Mus musculus: one gene and its partners. The protein of the gene in region 3 interacts with the protein of the main gene of each other region in a pairwise test. Links are inferred from orthologs where the notes say so. Each region holds a gene or a part of one and is shown on either strand. Other genes may lie near its edges.

Region 1 (4,746 bases), on a different chromosome or scaffold from region 3:
TAAAGAATATAAATAAAAATATTATTTGTACTATGAATGTGAGCACTTGATAAATTCTAATGAAATATGTGATCAATGTTGTGTTAATAAGATGTAAGCAACTTGCTGAAGCTAACAAGCTTTTCTGTCAAATGATGGTTTTGAAGGGAGGAGGTGGATGCTGGGAATTACGTCAGGGACTTGTAAATGTTAGGCAAATGGTATACTCCCTCACTCTACCCCTTGATCCCCATTTGTAATATTTATATTTTAGTCTTGTTCCTTCTTTGTAGTATTTAAATAATATTAGATTATACTAATATGTTTTTTAAAAATATAACAAGACTATTCTCTGCTGTTTCTTTGTTTTTTGTTTTTATTGTTTGTTTTTTGAGATAGGGTCCCTCCACATAGTCCTGGCTGTCTTTGAACTCTCTATGTAGAGCAGGCAAGCTGGCCTCAAACTTAAAAGATCTATCTGCCTCAGCCTCTTAAGTGCTGGAATTAAAGTCATTTACCACCATGCCTGGCTTCTTATTTTATTTATATTAATTTATTTATTTTTCTTTTCTGTTGAAAATGATCACTCTGGCTTGGAGAAATGATTCAGTTGCTCCAGTCTTTGCTGCACATCCATAAGGCCTTGAGTTCTGTCCCCAAGCCCATGGAAAAAGATGGGTGTAGTGTGCACTTGGAATCTTCATGCCAGGCGGCAGAAACAAACAGGTGCCTGGGACTAGGTGGTCAGCCAGCTCAGACACATTAGTAAGACCTGTGTCCTAGTGGGAGACTCAAATAAACAAGGGAGGCAGCTTATGGAAAATGATACTCAAAGTGGACCTCTGGTTTCCATATGCACAAGCATGTATATACATATGTACACCCCTTCCATGTGAACACACACACTAGCACCTATATGTGTGTACATATTTGTATAGGTATTTGTGCAGACATGTACACATGCACATTCTAAGTTCTGCTCTTGTGGGCTGTAAAAATCAGGTGATGTTCCAGGTTATATTTGAAGGCATGCTTTGGTGACCCTTGCATTAGGTTAAAAATGAATAAAGACAATAGTCTAGAGAAAAGGTGGTTTATGAAATGAATACGAAGGATTGTTGAATCTCTAGGCATTTGGTTATTATTTATTTGGATACCAGGGCTATCTGTCTTTGTGTTGTCTTATTTATATTATATCTTACAGACAGTTGATATTCATAAAGAGAAGGTTGCAAGAAGAGAAATTGGTATTTTGACCACCAATAAAAACACTTCAAGGACCCATAAGATTATTGCGCCAGCCAACCTTGAGCGGCCAGTTCGTTATATTCGAAAACCTATTGACTACACAATTTTAGATGACATTGGACATGGAGTGAAGGTAGGTGTAGTTTCTGTCAAGCTTTCTAAAGCTCTAATGGAACCCTAGGAAATTAAAGTTCATTTAATTGCCTGAAGGACCAACTCTTGGCACAGTTGTGGTTGTGAAGGTTGCTTACTATTGTTGTGTCCTCCTTATGTTTTCTTTACTGTTACCTTTCAAACCAGTTATCTTCTAATGGTATTTGCTTAGTTAATCACTAGATCAATTAGCGTATGGTATAGTGGTTCTAATCTTTTAATGATTTAGTAATGATAGGAAAAAAATCCAGCATATTATTAAAATGTTTTTCTTATCTCAAAAATATGTCAGCAGATTTTTGGCATTAGTTTTCAGAACAGCATATGTTACTAAATATGAATTTGAATTTTTTTCTAGAATAATTTTATCTCAACCTTTTGGATGAGAATAGTGGAGCTAAAAATTGTAAATTTATTTGTGGTGACTTTAAATTTATAACATTTTATATTTTGGTCACCTTTTAAAGATGCATTTGTGTATCTAGTATGTATATGAAGTGGCATCATCAAAGCTCTATAGTATTGGGGATGTGGGGCAGTAGTAGAGCAGGAGCTTTCTCACACACAGCCCCGCGCTCTAGCACTGCGAGTCAGCACACCTGCTAGCTGTTAGGGGGCAGGGGGGACAGTGTTCTTCTACTGAGGTGATTCTTACAGTTAAGAGACCATTCAGAGCTTCAGCTAAGTACATTATTTACAGTTTATATTTTAGTAGTGATTGTCAAATTTACATAAGTATGACTTGCAATAATTCTATACCTATCTTATAGCTATATAATTCATATATATGATATTTTTCTAATATAAGCCTATTTAAAATGTACACCACCATTTTGGTCAGAAATCAGTAAGTTTGTGTGAAAATAAAACATGCAGTATAAATTTATAAAACAACTTTTATTTTAGAGGGCTTTTGATTTTTTTTTTTTATTTTTTTAGATAGATTCTCACTCTTTTGGCCTTGGCTGGCCTGGAACTCATTGTGTAGGGCAGGCTGGCCTTGAACTCACAGAGATCAGCCTGCCTCTGCCTCCAGAGTGCTGAGTTTAAAGGTGTGTACCTCTATACCCCACTTATTGAGAGTTTTGAAAAAGCATAATTATCTGGAACTTGATATTTAATTTTATAGTTGATTCCTATATATGTATTTCAATGACTAATTAAAGCATATTAAAATAAGATATGTGAGTAGATGGATAATTAAACTGTAATTTGTTTTAACCTGGGGAAACAAGTTTGTTGTTGAAGACGTACAGGTGCTAATAGAATGTTATAGGCTGCTACCAGAATCTGTTGCCAAATGATACTTGGAATATAGATTTGTGTTTGCCTGTTTATATAATAAAAAGGTGATTTTTTTTGTATAATTAGTTTTTAATACTTAAAATATTTTTCTTTTAGGATTGTACTCTCTGTTGTTTGTACTGTAGTGTTCGCTAATTTAAAGAACTCTTTAACGGAATTAAAGTTTTGAATAAAACAGTCTTATATCATCAACGAAACTTCTGTCCATGACACATCTGCTTTAACCACTCTTTCTATAATCTACTGAAACATTATTTTGTTAATGCTGATTGCTTAACTTGTTTTTCTTTGTTTTCTTTTTTTTGTCTTCACATCCTGAAGTTCCAACTAACCTTTCAATGCTTTTCTTCCTTACCTCTTTATTTGCTCCATTTATGCATTAAGTGGTTGCTTAGATTTAAGGTAAGAGATTCCAGGGCTGGATTTCCATTCTATGTTCTTATGTAGAATATTACATATGGGGAGTAAAGACATATTTTCCATTTGGCCTTTTAAAACCAACAAATTAGTTATTTATTTATTCAGGTCTGACGACTTTATTGTGTGTCTTCATGTTTCCTGAGGGTAGATATTTTTGTACATTTTGTTCATTACCCTGTTCTTTGTGCCTAGAACAGTACCAAATACACATTAGGTATTAGTATCTCAAGTATTTGCTGAATGGATGGGTGCTTTTGTGAAACTGAATTATAAATTGTATTGTTATAAAGTGTTAATAAGATGAAATTGCTAGATTTTTTTATAAATGTTGAAATTTTGTTATTGATTGGAGGGCCAACTAATATGCTCTATTTAACCCTCCCCCTGTGTAATAACTTTTTATTCTATAAATGGTGTGCTTAATTATATGGTTTGTTGACAGTATGTCATTATCTTTTGACTTCTAATTTAAAAGTTGAGAAGCAAAAAAATATGTCATAATGCCTTTTTTAAGTTGCAGTACATTTTAGAAAGGAATTAGTCTTTTTAAAATGTTTGTATAAAATATACTTCAATACAATCTCACCGTCTTTTTAAAAGTGAATATTATTTGTATATAGAACATCCAAAGTTTATGATAATGCTTAAGAAATACAAATTAAGAACTAGAGAGGAGGTCACAGTGCTAGAACACTTGCCTAGAATGTACAAGACCCTGGTTCAGTAGAAACCAGTAAACCTACCAAATAGAAATCCCACACAACCAAAATAAACCTGGTGCTGTTTAGTGAAGGGGCCATGATGAAAGCATTTCGGGTGGTTCAGGAAGCCTGTCAGATACTAAGAGGATTTTCATCAGTTCTTGCCATTTCTTCTTTCTTTTGTTTTTTATCAAGTCAGGGTCTCTTTGCTGTCCTGGAACTTTTTCTGTCTAGAGACCATGCTCAGCTTCAGAGCCCCACCTGCCTCCGCCTCCTGTGTGCTGGACTAAAGGCCTGTGTCCTGCTGCCCAGCAGCCCATCTCTTCTTCCTTAGACAAGTTGTCTGATTTCTTTTCAAATATGTATTTGCTTTGCAGTTTGCTATATCTTTGGTGTAGTCAGTGATAATCAGGAGATAAGATGACTGTATTACTTAGTATTAACCATGGCCACAAAACTTTTGCCTGATCATGGCAGGTGGTTCTGAAAAAGGAAATAAAGCCACTGGAAAATAGGTTCTAAGCTCTTACCTTGCTGGTAACCCAGGAATTTGGAATTGTGGGAAGGTTTCTTCTGTTTAAAACGGCCAAATTACAGTGAACTAGACTAAAAAAAAAGCAGGCAGTATTCAAATTTAGTTCTTGCTCTGTTAACCTAAAATGTGGTGACAGAAGAAATCGATCCTTTGCTCTTACTGGCTAGCCTGTTGTCCGCCATCTCCCATGCTTCTTTGCTCTAGGATTTGCGGTGTCTCTCCCTTGACTTGAAAGTCTGCTTCACATAAGAGAAAGGTCCCCTGAGGGCTGCCTAAAAGATCTCACAGGAACTATGCTGGAAGAAGATGCCTCAATGTTTTGTTGGTTTTGTTTGTTTGTTTGTTTGTTTTCCTCTTAGAACCAGAAAGTTTCACAGTAGAATCCCAACAGATTGTACTACTCTA
Region 2 (4,746 bases), on a different chromosome or scaffold from region 3:
CCCTTAGCTCCTAGGGGAACTAATCTGCCAAGACTCTCTTCTGGAGAACTCAAAACCAGATCTACTTGGGGACAGGCAGGCTGAGGGCAGTCTCTGTCTCTGCCACTTATGAAGCCATCGCATGTGAAAAGGTGTCAGTTCTAACTAATGTACCCACGGGTCACATTCTTAACATTAACATTAGCCACCAGACAGGAGCCAGCTGCTTAAGGGCATCGCCCAGCTATTTCTTTTCTGAGCTCCCCAGGTGAGGAGGTAGGACCAAGCTGGGCCCTGTTCTCTTCCCAAGTCAGTGGCCAACACTGAGGCAGGGCAGGAGGTCCCTCACCGGGTCCTTGTTCTCCTGGTCTGTCCTGGTCTCCCTGATGTCTCCATTGTAGGTTGAAGTCCGCTGGTCCTCAGCTGCACTCCGCTGCTGCCACAAGATGGCCTCGCCCTCATATTCTTTCCGGTATAGGTTGGTTCTGTCTGACAGGCTGGCTCGACGCACCACCTTCCTGAGGAGGACAAAGGAGGTGCTAGGTAGCTGTGATCAGGAGCCATGGGCAGGCATGTACAGGGGCCCCAGCTGCCTGTACCACTCACCCACGGCTGCCCGCGCTGGATGTCCTCCGGCTCAGGGACGACTTGTGCCTCAGCTGCGACTTCATGATCACATCATGCTTGTGTTTCAGCTCCAACAGCAGGACCTTGAATTCCTCCTCCTCACACAGGTCTGAGGGAATACAAGAATCAGTTGCAGAAGGCAGGATAGGGACTCTGGACCACAGGGGCCACCCATGCAAACCCACCAGAAGCTCTGAGAACCTTCTGGGGGCACAGACGGAACAAGGAAAGCAACCCCTGCTTATTGCCTTTGAGGGATGTGAAAATGAGAGACTTGAGCTCCTAACTCCTGAAGTTCCCGGCTAAGACTGAGAGGCTCAGATGGTAGGTTTTGTCAACACAAACCTGAGCATATCTGGAAAGAGGGAATCTCAATTGAGGAACTGTCTCTAGTAGAGTGCCCTTTGAGCAAGTCTATGGGGGCATTTTCTTGATTAAGGATTGATCTGGGAGGGGCCGTCTGCTGTGAGCCATGCCACCCTTGGAGAATTGGGCCTGGGTTGTATAACAAAGTGGTGCAGGGGGTCTGGGGGGGGGCAAGCCATAGGAGCAAGTCAGTAAGCAGACTCCTCCCATGGCCATCAGTCCTGCCTTGAGTTTCCTCAGTGATGAACTGTGATAAGGACTCGTAAGCCAAATGAACCCTTTCCTTCCCAAGTTGCTTTTGGTCAGTGTTTTATCACAGCCACACAAAAGCTAACGAGGACACATACCCTTGATAGTCTCTGGGAGAGTTAGCAAGTCTCCCTGATCTGAGCATTGAGAGAAACAAGCAGATTCCACAGGCAGGAAATGAAGTAATGCTGAGAAATCCCCACTGAGTAGAGGGGTTCACCAGTCAATCCACTGAACCCCTCTATCCATCTACTGGCTAACCTGGTCATCCATCCATTGACTCATCCCCAGTCTGCCTGTCTACTTATGTATCCATCCGCCTACACATCCATCAATATATCCCACATCACATTTCCTGTCTAAACTATGCATCCATCTATGTATGTATGTATGTATGCATGTATGCATGCATGTATGTATTTGTCTACCTACCTACCTATCTATGCAGCCACATGTTCAACCAATGTCCACTCACCATCAAAAGAACTGGTAAGTATGTATGTACTAAGTATGAAGCTGCCTTACCTATTGGCATCTCATCCATGGATGTCCTGGCACTGAGACTAGCTCCATGGGACACCAGCAGCTCTGCCATTGGCATCTGCAACACAAGAAGAAGTTCATGTCCCCCATACCCAGGACTCAGGAAACCTAAGAGTTGGAGAGCAAGCCCAAGACCTCTTAGAATGTGACCCAAAGAATGGTGGAGGAAAGGTGATCCCCAGGGAAGGCCCTGGGCCATGGAGCCAAGAGAGAGCCCTGTCAGAAGTGATGGGCTTGGCACCTCCTCCCATCATCCCTGGGTTACTATGAGGAGAAGCAACAGGAGGAGTCGGTTGTAATTCCACAGCTGTTGGGTATGGATGGATGGCTGCACAGGCTGAAATCACATCTGGGAAACACTCTAGAGAAACCATGCAAAGCAGACACCAAGGGGGTTTTCTACTGGACAGATTTGATTCTCATCCTGTTAGGATGCAATTGGCCATTGTGTCTGCAACCCACCCCAGTCTTCTCATCTCCCACATTCATTGTACCCAGTGGCTAAGTGGGTCCTAGCTCTCCTGCACCAAATGCCAGCCCAAAGGACTCAGTATCAGCAGTTTTACCTTGTGCCTGACAAGGTACAGTGGGTGGGAAGTACCTGTCCCCAGAAGGCTGCTGCATGCAGAGGCTCCCAGCCATCCCAGTCCTTCACATCCACACGCACTCCATGGTCCAGGAGGAGCTCGGCTGCTCGCAGATATCCATTGGCTCCAGCTATGTGTAGCTGGAAGAGAGGAAAGAAGTCGGCATTCCTAAGAGAGCTGGCTCCACAATTAGAGGCAGAGTATCCTTTCTCACCCGAAGCCTCAGAGCATCCTTGGGATCAAAGAACGGGACAGAATGAGGTAGAAACACCAGCCAGGAAGGTTGCAGGGGATTGCTACGTGTGAAATAAAGAAGTAGAACGGTGAAGTGAGACAGGCTCTTCACCTAGCCCTGAAGAAGGCATCCCAAAGGTCCAAAATGGTCATTTGAAAATGTACCTACCTATTTTTTGACTTATCTTTCTTTTAAATGTAGAATCTGGTTGCTCTGCCTTTGAACATACACGGATTGAGTGAGTCATTTCTAACCAAGAGGATATTACAAAGTGGTGACAGTATATGATTTCTGAGGCTGGAGCATGAAAAGTGTAGCTGCTTCTACCTCTTAGATTCATCTGGGAGGAGGCAGCCACCTCGGGTAGCACTGAGGAGAAGTTGTAAGGCGGCAAGAAACTGAGGACTTCTGCCAGCTGCCAACACTAATGTCATTTGTTCGTGGGAACCACCATGAAGGAGACCAACCTCAAATGTGACTTCAACCCTGGTCAACCCCATGGGAAATGCCAGGTCGGAGTCACCCAGTTAAGCCATTCTTAATCTCCCACAGAAACGTTGTGTTTATATTGGAAATTAGATTTGTGCTTACATGGGAATCCATACATCCTTTGTGGGTCCCTGCCAATATTTGGTTTTCTGGTCAATAAAGAGCCAGTGGCCAATGGCTGGGCAGGGGACAGAGGTGGGACTTTTAAGATACCTGGGCAAGAAACAGTAGTGGGAGAAGAGTCTGCCATGAGAGGGATGTAGGATAGACCATGACACCTGCGAAGGAGTGAGAGACTGAAATGGCCAAAATGTAGGTGCAAAGGGAAAGTGGCCCCATGGGAGGGCTGCCCAGAAAGAAACAGGGCAGCAAAGATAAAACAGAGATTTAGAAAATGTTAACTCAGGAGTATCTGAGGGGTGTGTGTGCTAGCCTGGGGAGGTGCCCAACCATTGAGCTAATCAAGGCATATTAAATATAAAGGTTGTGAGTCCATGCTTTTTATTTGCAAATCCAGAATTCTTGGGCATGTGCAGTTCTGCACATGCACCCACTGGGAGCTTAGAGTGAACTTTAAATATTTATTGCTACATCTCTACTATAAAGAATCTACCCTGTAGGGTTGGTTGTCATATAGCAATAGGCAATTGATAACTGTAATGGGAAGACTCACACTGCCTATGCTGAGGTCCCAGCTAGTTTGTTTGCTCATTCATTCATTCATTTATTCATTCATTTAGTTAATTAGAAAAAGTCTTATTTTGTAGCCCAACATAGCCTCATCTTGCAACAGTTCTTCTGCTTCAGCTTTTACAAGTACTGGGATTACAGGCATAAGCCACCACTGAGGCTGAGGCCTTAACTCTTCTATTCAGCACCATTGGAGGTTGCCTGTCATGGCTGCCACCAGCAGACCTCAGTTGTCCCACTTGTTTGATCCCTCAGAAAGGAAAGTGCTTAGCACTGGGTGGTGAGCATGGCAGCAGGGTCTGTCCTGAGGATGAGGGAAGGAAGGAGAAGTTGGGACGAAGAGAAGCCACTGTTCAGCCACAGAGAGGGACAGAAGTGACAGTCTAGAAAGGACAACTGAAGACTGGGAATGATCCAGAGGATGGGAAGGGTCAGTGATGGAAGTCACTGGGAAACCTAAGTCATAGCTCAGGTTAGGATGTGGCCCTGATGGTCACGTGTTTCCTCCATGGAGAGGCTGCTCCAGGGTCCTGATAAGGTCAGGATTTCCCTTTTTAATTTTCAGAGTAAATCTATGGTATGACGTCTAATTTATATGTCTGATGCTTGCCAGTTGTGAAGAATAGAATCTGCTGGCCAGCCAGATACCTCAAAGCACAGGGTCACAGCAGGTACTTAGCCAGGAACTAAAAAGTATGATTCATCTAGGGATATTGCTAATGAGGAGGAGGAAGGTTGCTGGAGCATGTTGACTCTTGCCTGGAGTCCCATCACTTGGAAGACAGAGGCAAAAGGATCACGGGCTCAATGTCAGAAGTATAGCATTTGCTTAATGAACACGAAGAGAGACAGAGACAGAGATGGGAAGGAAATTGTTATCAGTATATACTGAGTCTTCAAATTGTGCTCAAAACCTGCTGAATGTCATTCAGTCCTCCCAGCTGTCCCATGAGGAAGACACTATTACCACCAATGTTGCAG
Region 3 (6,788 bases):
CTTATGATGTTAGAGGCTACCCTGGGATACATGGGACCTTGTCTAGAAAGTAAGGTGGGGTGGGAACAGAAGAAATGGTTAAGTGGACAAGAGTGCTTACTGCAAAAGCATGAGGACCTGAGTCCACATTTGTAGCTACCATGTAAAAAGCCAGGCGTGGCTTTGTGTGCCTGTAACTACAGCCTTAGGAAGGGCAGAAACGGGTGGATCCCAAGAGCAAGCTACGCAGCCAGCCTTGTCAAAATGTCCTGTGCCTAGTTCACTGAGAGACTTTGTCTGAAAGCAACAAGGCAGAGGGAATGGAGGTAAACATTGATGTTACAGAAGTGGATGCCCACAGTCAGCTAATGGATGGATCACAGGGCTCCCAATGGAGGAGCTAGAGAAAGTACCCAAGGAGCTAAAGGGATCTGCAACCCTATAGGTGGATCAACATTATGAACTAACCAGTACCCCGGAGCTCTTGACTCTAGCTGCATATGTATCAAAAGATGGCCTAGTCGGCCATCACTGGAAAGAGAGGCCCATTGGACACACAAACTTTATATGCCCCAGAACAGGGGAACACCAGGGCCAAAAAGGGGGAGTGGGCGGGTAGGGGAGTGGGGGTGGGTGGGTATGGGGGACTTTTGGTATAGCATTGGAAATGTAAATGAGCTAAATACCTAATAAAAAATGGAAAGAAAAAAAAAACATTGATGTTATCCTCTGTCCTCTACATATGCAGGCGTATTCAAAAATACACGCACACTTACATGCATACATCACACACACACACAAGAAGAAACAGTAACATCATGACGCACTCCTGTAATCCCAGGACTCTGGAGGTGGAAGTAGAAGGATCAGAAGTAGTCTGGTCTGCAGAATGAGTTCCAGGACAGCCAAGTGCTACACAGAGAAACTCAGTTTCAAAAGACCAAACCAGAGCCGGGCGTGGTGGCACACACCTTTAATCCCAGCACTTGGGAGGCAGAGGCAGGTGAATTTCGAGGCCAGCCTGGTCTATGGTCTACAGTGTGAGTTCCAGGACAGCCAGACAGCCAGAACTACACAGAGAAACCCTGTCTCAAAAAACAAACAAAAAAACAAAAAAAACCAGGGTTGGCAAGATGGCTCAGCAGGTAAGAGCACTGACTGCTCTTCCAAAGGTTCTGAGTTCAAATTCCAGCAACCACATGGTGGCTCACATCCACCTGTAATGAGATCTGATGCCTTCTTCTGACATGTCTGAAGACAGCTACAGTGTAGTTATGTATAATAATAAATAAATCTTTGGACCAGAGAGAGCAGGGTTAACTGGGGAGCAGAGATCCTAAAAATTCAATCCCATCTGTTCGGCTACAGTGTACCCATAAAAGTAAATTAAATAAATAAATCTTTTTAAAAGATAGATAGATAGATAGATAGATAGATAGATAGATAGATAGATAGATAGATAGACAGACAGATGCAACAGTAATATCAAACTTTGCTGTTTCTGGGATTTTTTTTTTGTTACTCTCTTTGTGTTGGTGTTTTTGTATATGAGTGTTTTGTCTGCATGTATTTCTATGAACACAAACACACCTGGTACCATCAGAAGAAGCCAGAAAGCAGTATTGGGTGCCCTGGAACCATAATTACAAACAGCTGTGAGCCCCCCTGTGGGTGCTTGGAATGGGAATCCAGGTCTCCCTGAAGAGCAGCCAGTACTCTTAACCACTGAGCCAGCCAACTCCCACATTTTTATAAAGACAAGGTTTCCCTTTGATATAAAGTTTATGAAGTCCTGGCTAGCCTAGAAATTACTCTGTAGGCCAGGCTGGCCTCAAACCAACAGTGATCTGCCTGCCTCTACCTTCCGAATGCTAGAATTTAAAGGCATATACCACTATGTCCTGCTACATGTCTCTGTAATTTTTTGGACCACAGACACTACAAGAGTTGCCTCAGCCATTGAGGAAAAAATAAACAAAAAAATGTCAGTAATATTGGTGTTTTCCTTCAAAACTCAACGTCTGTAACTTGCGTCCTTAGAAACATTAGCCATCAGCCCTGCTCTCGACCTCAGAGAAAGAATTCCAGTTTACTATGTTGAGCTGGCATTGAACAGAAATTAGCAGCCACATTGGCCTCAAAATGTTCAGCTCAATGCAGGAGCTGGACCTAGACCCACACATCTGTAGCAAATGTGCAACTTGGTGTTCGTGTGGTTCTTCTATCAAGTGGAACAGGGGCTGTCTCGGTTTCTGTTCCCTGCCATTGGATCCCCTTCCCCACTGTTTGGACTCCCTGGATGAGGCTCAGTGGGTCAGGATGTTCCTAGAACTGCTGAAATGTCCCAGAGTGGGGTGGTATCCAAGGGAGTCTCCCCTTCTTGAGGGAGAAGGGGGAGGAGAAAAGAGAGAAGGGATATGTGAGGAGGAAGACAGGAGGGAGAGGAGCTGTGATCCAAATGTAAAGTGAATAAAAATATAAATAGTTTTGAAAAAAGAGAAAAATGTTAAGTGTAATTTTTTTCCCATTTGTATGTGAGCAAATAGCTGTGTAGAACATGTTAGCGCTTATCTTTTGACTGAGCTACAGCCCCAGCCCGTGTTTTAACTAATAAACAATCTAATAGGACAGGGATCCATCCTGTCAACAGTCAAATAGCACCCAAGTGCCAGGCAGTGAAAAGAACCAGCGTTCTCCAGGGAGAGATGATCTATGTATTGGTATATACACAAACGAAGAGGAAATCTCAGGGGCCACAGGAGGGATCAACCATAAAGACACTTGCCACCAAGCCTAAAACCCTGAGTTTGATTCCTAAGAATCAAACATGGTGGAAGCAGAGAACTGACTCAGACTCCAGCAAGTTGTCATCTGACTTCAACAAAGGAGTCAGAAGACACACACACACTAAATATATATGCATGTATACTTATATAATGAATATATACCTTACAAACAGAGAAGAAAAATCACAAAGAGTTAAAAAAAAAAACAAGCGGGAGCAGTAGTACACGGGATCAGGAGTTCAAGACCAGCCTCTGTTACGGAACAAGTTCAAGACCACTCTATGCTCCAAAAGACTCCCTCTCAAAAAACATAAATTAAATGTAAAAGGTTTCTTTCGGGGGAATGGGGAGAAGACTCAACAGATAAAGCACTGTCTGTGCATACGTGAGGATCTGAGTTCAGAACCCCAGCACCCAGATAAAAGCTGGGCACACTATAACCCCAGCATTGGGGGAACAGGGACAAACAGATACACAGGGCTCACTGTCCAGCCAGCCTCTGCTCCACAGGGAGATCCAGGTTCAGTGAAAGACCTTGTCTGAAATAGGCTGGGTGTGGTGGTGAACACCTTTAACCTTAAGTACTTGGGTGGCAGGGGCAGGAAGATCCATCAGATGAAGGCCAGCCTGGTCTACATAGAGAGGTCTAGGAAAAAATAGCAAATGGAAGTATTTAGGAAGACAACCAGTATGTCTATCTCTGTCCTCCGAGGTTGCTCTCTCACATGGACACACACACACATTGTAGACATACATACACACAAACACATGAACATGCTCACACACCATGGATGTGTGCTTAGATGAGACATTCCACCTCTGAATGTCCTCAGAGTATAAAATCCATTCATCCTAAAGCCACTCCTGGATCCCAACAACTAGTCCCCAACTGGTATGACTTTACTCCCTCCTATCATGGTCCTAAGTGACCTGTTTCCCTGAACACCTGCTGGAATCTCTACCCTATGTTAATCTGTTCAGAAAGCATCACAAGACCCATCTTCATGTCAAACATGGGTGAGAATAAAATATTCTCGCAGCCTCTCCTGGAAAGACTCACCTTTGGAAAGGAGAAATGGGGACTCTCCTGGATGTTCAGGTACTGGATGGTGTCATCAGACAGCAGAGGCTAGAGGAAATAGGTCCCCTCACACGGGGCGACTTTAAGCCTGGGCTGGGAGTGATGTCATCTATTGTGGCCTGGATCTGGAAGGGTAATCCCAGGGAAGGTGGGGGACTCACTGGGCAACAGGAGGTGACATTGGCTGGGGGAAGGGCACCGTCTGCTTAATCCCACCACCCCCACAGTGACATCTTGGCAATTAGGGTTGATGAAGAAGGGAGGGAAAGCCCAACTCCTGCCTGCAACCAGGAGCCCCCACTTCTCAGGGAAGTCTTTCCTTGGGTCTAAAGGGTATTCCTCCAGCTTCAGCTACTATCTGAAAAGAAATGTCTTCAAAAGCACAGAAAGAAGTGTACAGTGCTCCTGGGAGACAGAAAAGAAAGGCACAGGACTTCCTGGGTTGTTCTTTGTGGCCCAGGCTAGTATTGAACTTTTAAGTCTTCTGACACAGCTAGAATAACTGGGAAGAGAGATCTGTGACCCCACTGAGTGAACTAATTCAAATGTGTAGTTCTTGATGGTTCTCCCTTTTTCTGCCTCAGTTTCTCTCTCTTTCTCTGTGCCTCTCTGTCTTTCTCCCTTCTTCCCTCACTTCCTCAGGGCTCTCTATATCTCTGTCTCCCCATTGCTCTGTATCTTCTCCATTGCCTCTAGTCTCTGCTTCTCTATCTTCATCACTATTTCAGACCCTGCCTCTCTGAGTTTCTTTGTGTCTTTGTCTCTATGCCTCTCCCTGAGTTTCTATGTCTCTGTCAATCTCTGCCTGTGTCTCTGTTAGACTCTCTGTCTCCCACTGTCTCTCTGTCTCTCTGTTAGTCTCCATCTGTGTCGGACTCTACCTCTACTCTCTGTCTCCCGCTATCTCTCTGTCTCTGGCTGTCTCTCTGCAGCTCTGGTTCTGGCTCTTTTCCTCCCTGTCTCTCTTTCTCTCTGTCTTTTTATCTCTGAGTGTCTCTGTATGTCTGACTCTTTCTCTCTGTGTCTCTCTTGTTTAGATTTGTTTATTGATTATACATACATGGATATTGTGCCTGCACCCACGTGTTCACACACAGTGAGTGCCTGATGCCTGAAGAGACCAGAAGAGGGCATCAGATGCCCTGGACCGGGAATTACAGGTTATAAGCCACCATTAAGTATTGAGAATGGAGCCCTGGTCCTCCTGGAGAGCCCCAGTGCTCTTAACCACAGAGCCATCCCTCCAGCCCTTCACCTTGTCTCTGACTCTGTCCCTAGTTCCCTTTGTAAGGCAAGTTTGCATTCTCTCATTGTCTCCCTCTGTGTCTCCCTCCTTTGTCGTTCTGCCACTGTCTGTGGGTCCCTTCCTGGATTTGAGACCCTTCTGCCTGTCCACCTAAGCCTGAGGCTACAGCCTGGTCTCAGAGCCTCTGCTTGCTTCCTGCAATCCTTGAGCTGAAATGAAGGTTCCATTGCTACTCCACGCATACACATCTTCCTGCCATCTCTCTCTCCCCCTCAGTAATTCCCTCCCCCTCTGTCCCTCCCCTCATCTCTCTAGGTATTAATATCACTTCGAGTCCCATTCCCCACTCAAATTGGTTCTGCTTCTCTAAACACCGGGCCGTGCACTCACAGGCACACACAGCCACACGCACACTCTAATCCCTGCTCACCACTGGGTCACTGCTTGTCAGGAGGGGACCTCCCCTCTGTCCCCTATCCCCAGCCCCCTGCTAGGAGAGATTAGGGCCTCTGGGCCAGAAAGGGAATCAGAGCAGATCTCATTAGTAGAATGACACAAAGGAGGAGTTGTCTGACGCTCTCTGAAGCTTGACAGGAGGCTCAGGCCCACGTTTTTGCTCAGCCCAGTAGGAAGGCTAAACTATGCAGACGGGGTTAGGAAACAATCCTTCAGGCCAGGGGCCTCATCTTTAGATTTCTAGCCTAAAGTCCTACAGAATGCATGTGACGAGCGGGTTTTCTGGTTTAGTTTTGGAGGGTTGATTTTTGTTGTTGTTGTTGTTGTTGTTGTTGTTGTTGTTGTTGTTGTTGTTGTTGTTTTGAGGGGGTCCGTATTTTGTTTTTTGTTTGGGATTGTTGTTGTTTTGTTTTGTTTTTTCGAGATAGGGTTTCTCTGTGTAAAGAGCCATGGCTGTCCTATACTTGTTCTGTAGACCAGGCTGGCCTCAAACCCACATAGATCCACTTGCCCCTGCCTCCCAGTGCTGGGAATAAAGGCGTGCATCAACAAGCCCCACCTTGTTTAGATTTTTTTGTTTTTGCTTTTGTTTTAGAAAACTTGAAAGACTGGGACTAAAAGGCCTGGCAAGAGCAAGGTTCTAGGTTCAATCTCTACATTGTGTGTGTGTGTGGGGGGGGGGGTACCTAACTTGGCTCTCCCTCAGGATCACCCTAGCTCTAGATGCCTCTACCCAAATAATTGAAATGTGTCCCCTCTCTATAGGGACTGTCTTTTCATCCATAATTATGAATTCATGACATGTCTGAATTGGTTTAACTACATTGTTTGTTTGTTTGTTTGTTTGTTTGTTTGTTTGTGGAAAGCAGGATGTTCACATGGAAGAGACGAAAGACAACCTGCAGAAGCCGGTTCTATTCTTCCACCATGGGGACCTGGGGATACTTGGTGGCAAGTACTTTTTACCTGCTGAGCCACCTTGCTGGCCTGGCACTTGTGTTCAGTGGGACACTGATGAAGGCTGAGAGAATGAGTGAGACTGACTGGAATAGATGAGGAAACCTCCCTGGTGGTTCTGGGAGCTCCTATGGTGTCACTGGGAAGCATGGAGGAGGAGCTGGTGGCTGCTGAGAGCAGATGTCCTTGCTATAATTCCTGCCTTGCCCCACCCAAGGACAGACCTCCACAGATAGCCCCAGGACCTCAGAGATTTCTGGAAAGACATTCTTTTGGCTTTGTT

The links. The genes of interacting proteins can lie anywhere in the genome.
Region 1: the proteins of Crx (region 3) and Abi2 interact in binary tests that used the Homo sapiens proteins (3 or more experiments, as listed by UniProt). The link is inferred for Mus musculus from reciprocal best matches to the Homo sapiens genes CRX and ABI2.
Region 2: the proteins of Crx (region 3) and Ppp1r16b interact in binary tests that used the Homo sapiens proteins (3 or more experiments, as listed by UniProt). The two-hybrid records come from large-scale screens. The link is inferred for Mus musculus from reciprocal best matches to the Homo sapiens genes CRX and PPP1R16B.

What each region holds. Positions count from the first base shown.
Region 1 is NC_000067.6:60,435,873-60,440,618, forward strand, and holds part of Abi2 (abl interactor 2), read left to right. Parts: intron 1-1,183; coding exon 1,184-1,360; intron 1,361-3,069; coding exon 3,070-3,087; intron 3,088-4,746. UniProt on the Homo sapiens protein: Regulator of actin cytoskeleton dynamics underlying cell motility and adhesion. Functions as a component of the WAVE complex, which activates actin nucleating machinery Arp2/3 to drive lamellipodia formation.
Region 2 is NC_000068.7:158,752,889-158,757,634, reverse strand, and holds part of Ppp1r16b (protein phosphatase 1 regulatory inhibitor subunit 16B), read right to left. Parts: intron 2,492-4,746; coding exon 2,366-2,491; intron 1,823-2,365; coding exon 1,747-1,822; intron 716-1,746; coding exon 586-715; intron 498-585; coding exon 329-497; intron 1-328. UniProt on the Homo sapiens protein: Regulator of protein phosphatase 1 (PP1) that acts as a positive regulator of pulmonary endothelial cell (EC) barrier function. Involved in the regulation of the PI3K/AKT signaling pathway, angiogenesis and endothelial cell proliferation.
Region 3 is NC_000073.6:15,875,991-15,882,778, forward strand, and holds the start of Crx (cone-rod homeobox protein), read right to left. Parts: upstream 3,966-6,788; 5' UTR 3,826-3,965; intron 1-3,825. UniProt on the Homo sapiens protein: Transcription factor that binds and transactivates the sequence 5'-TAATC[CA]-3' which is found upstream of several photoreceptor-specific genes, including the opsin genes.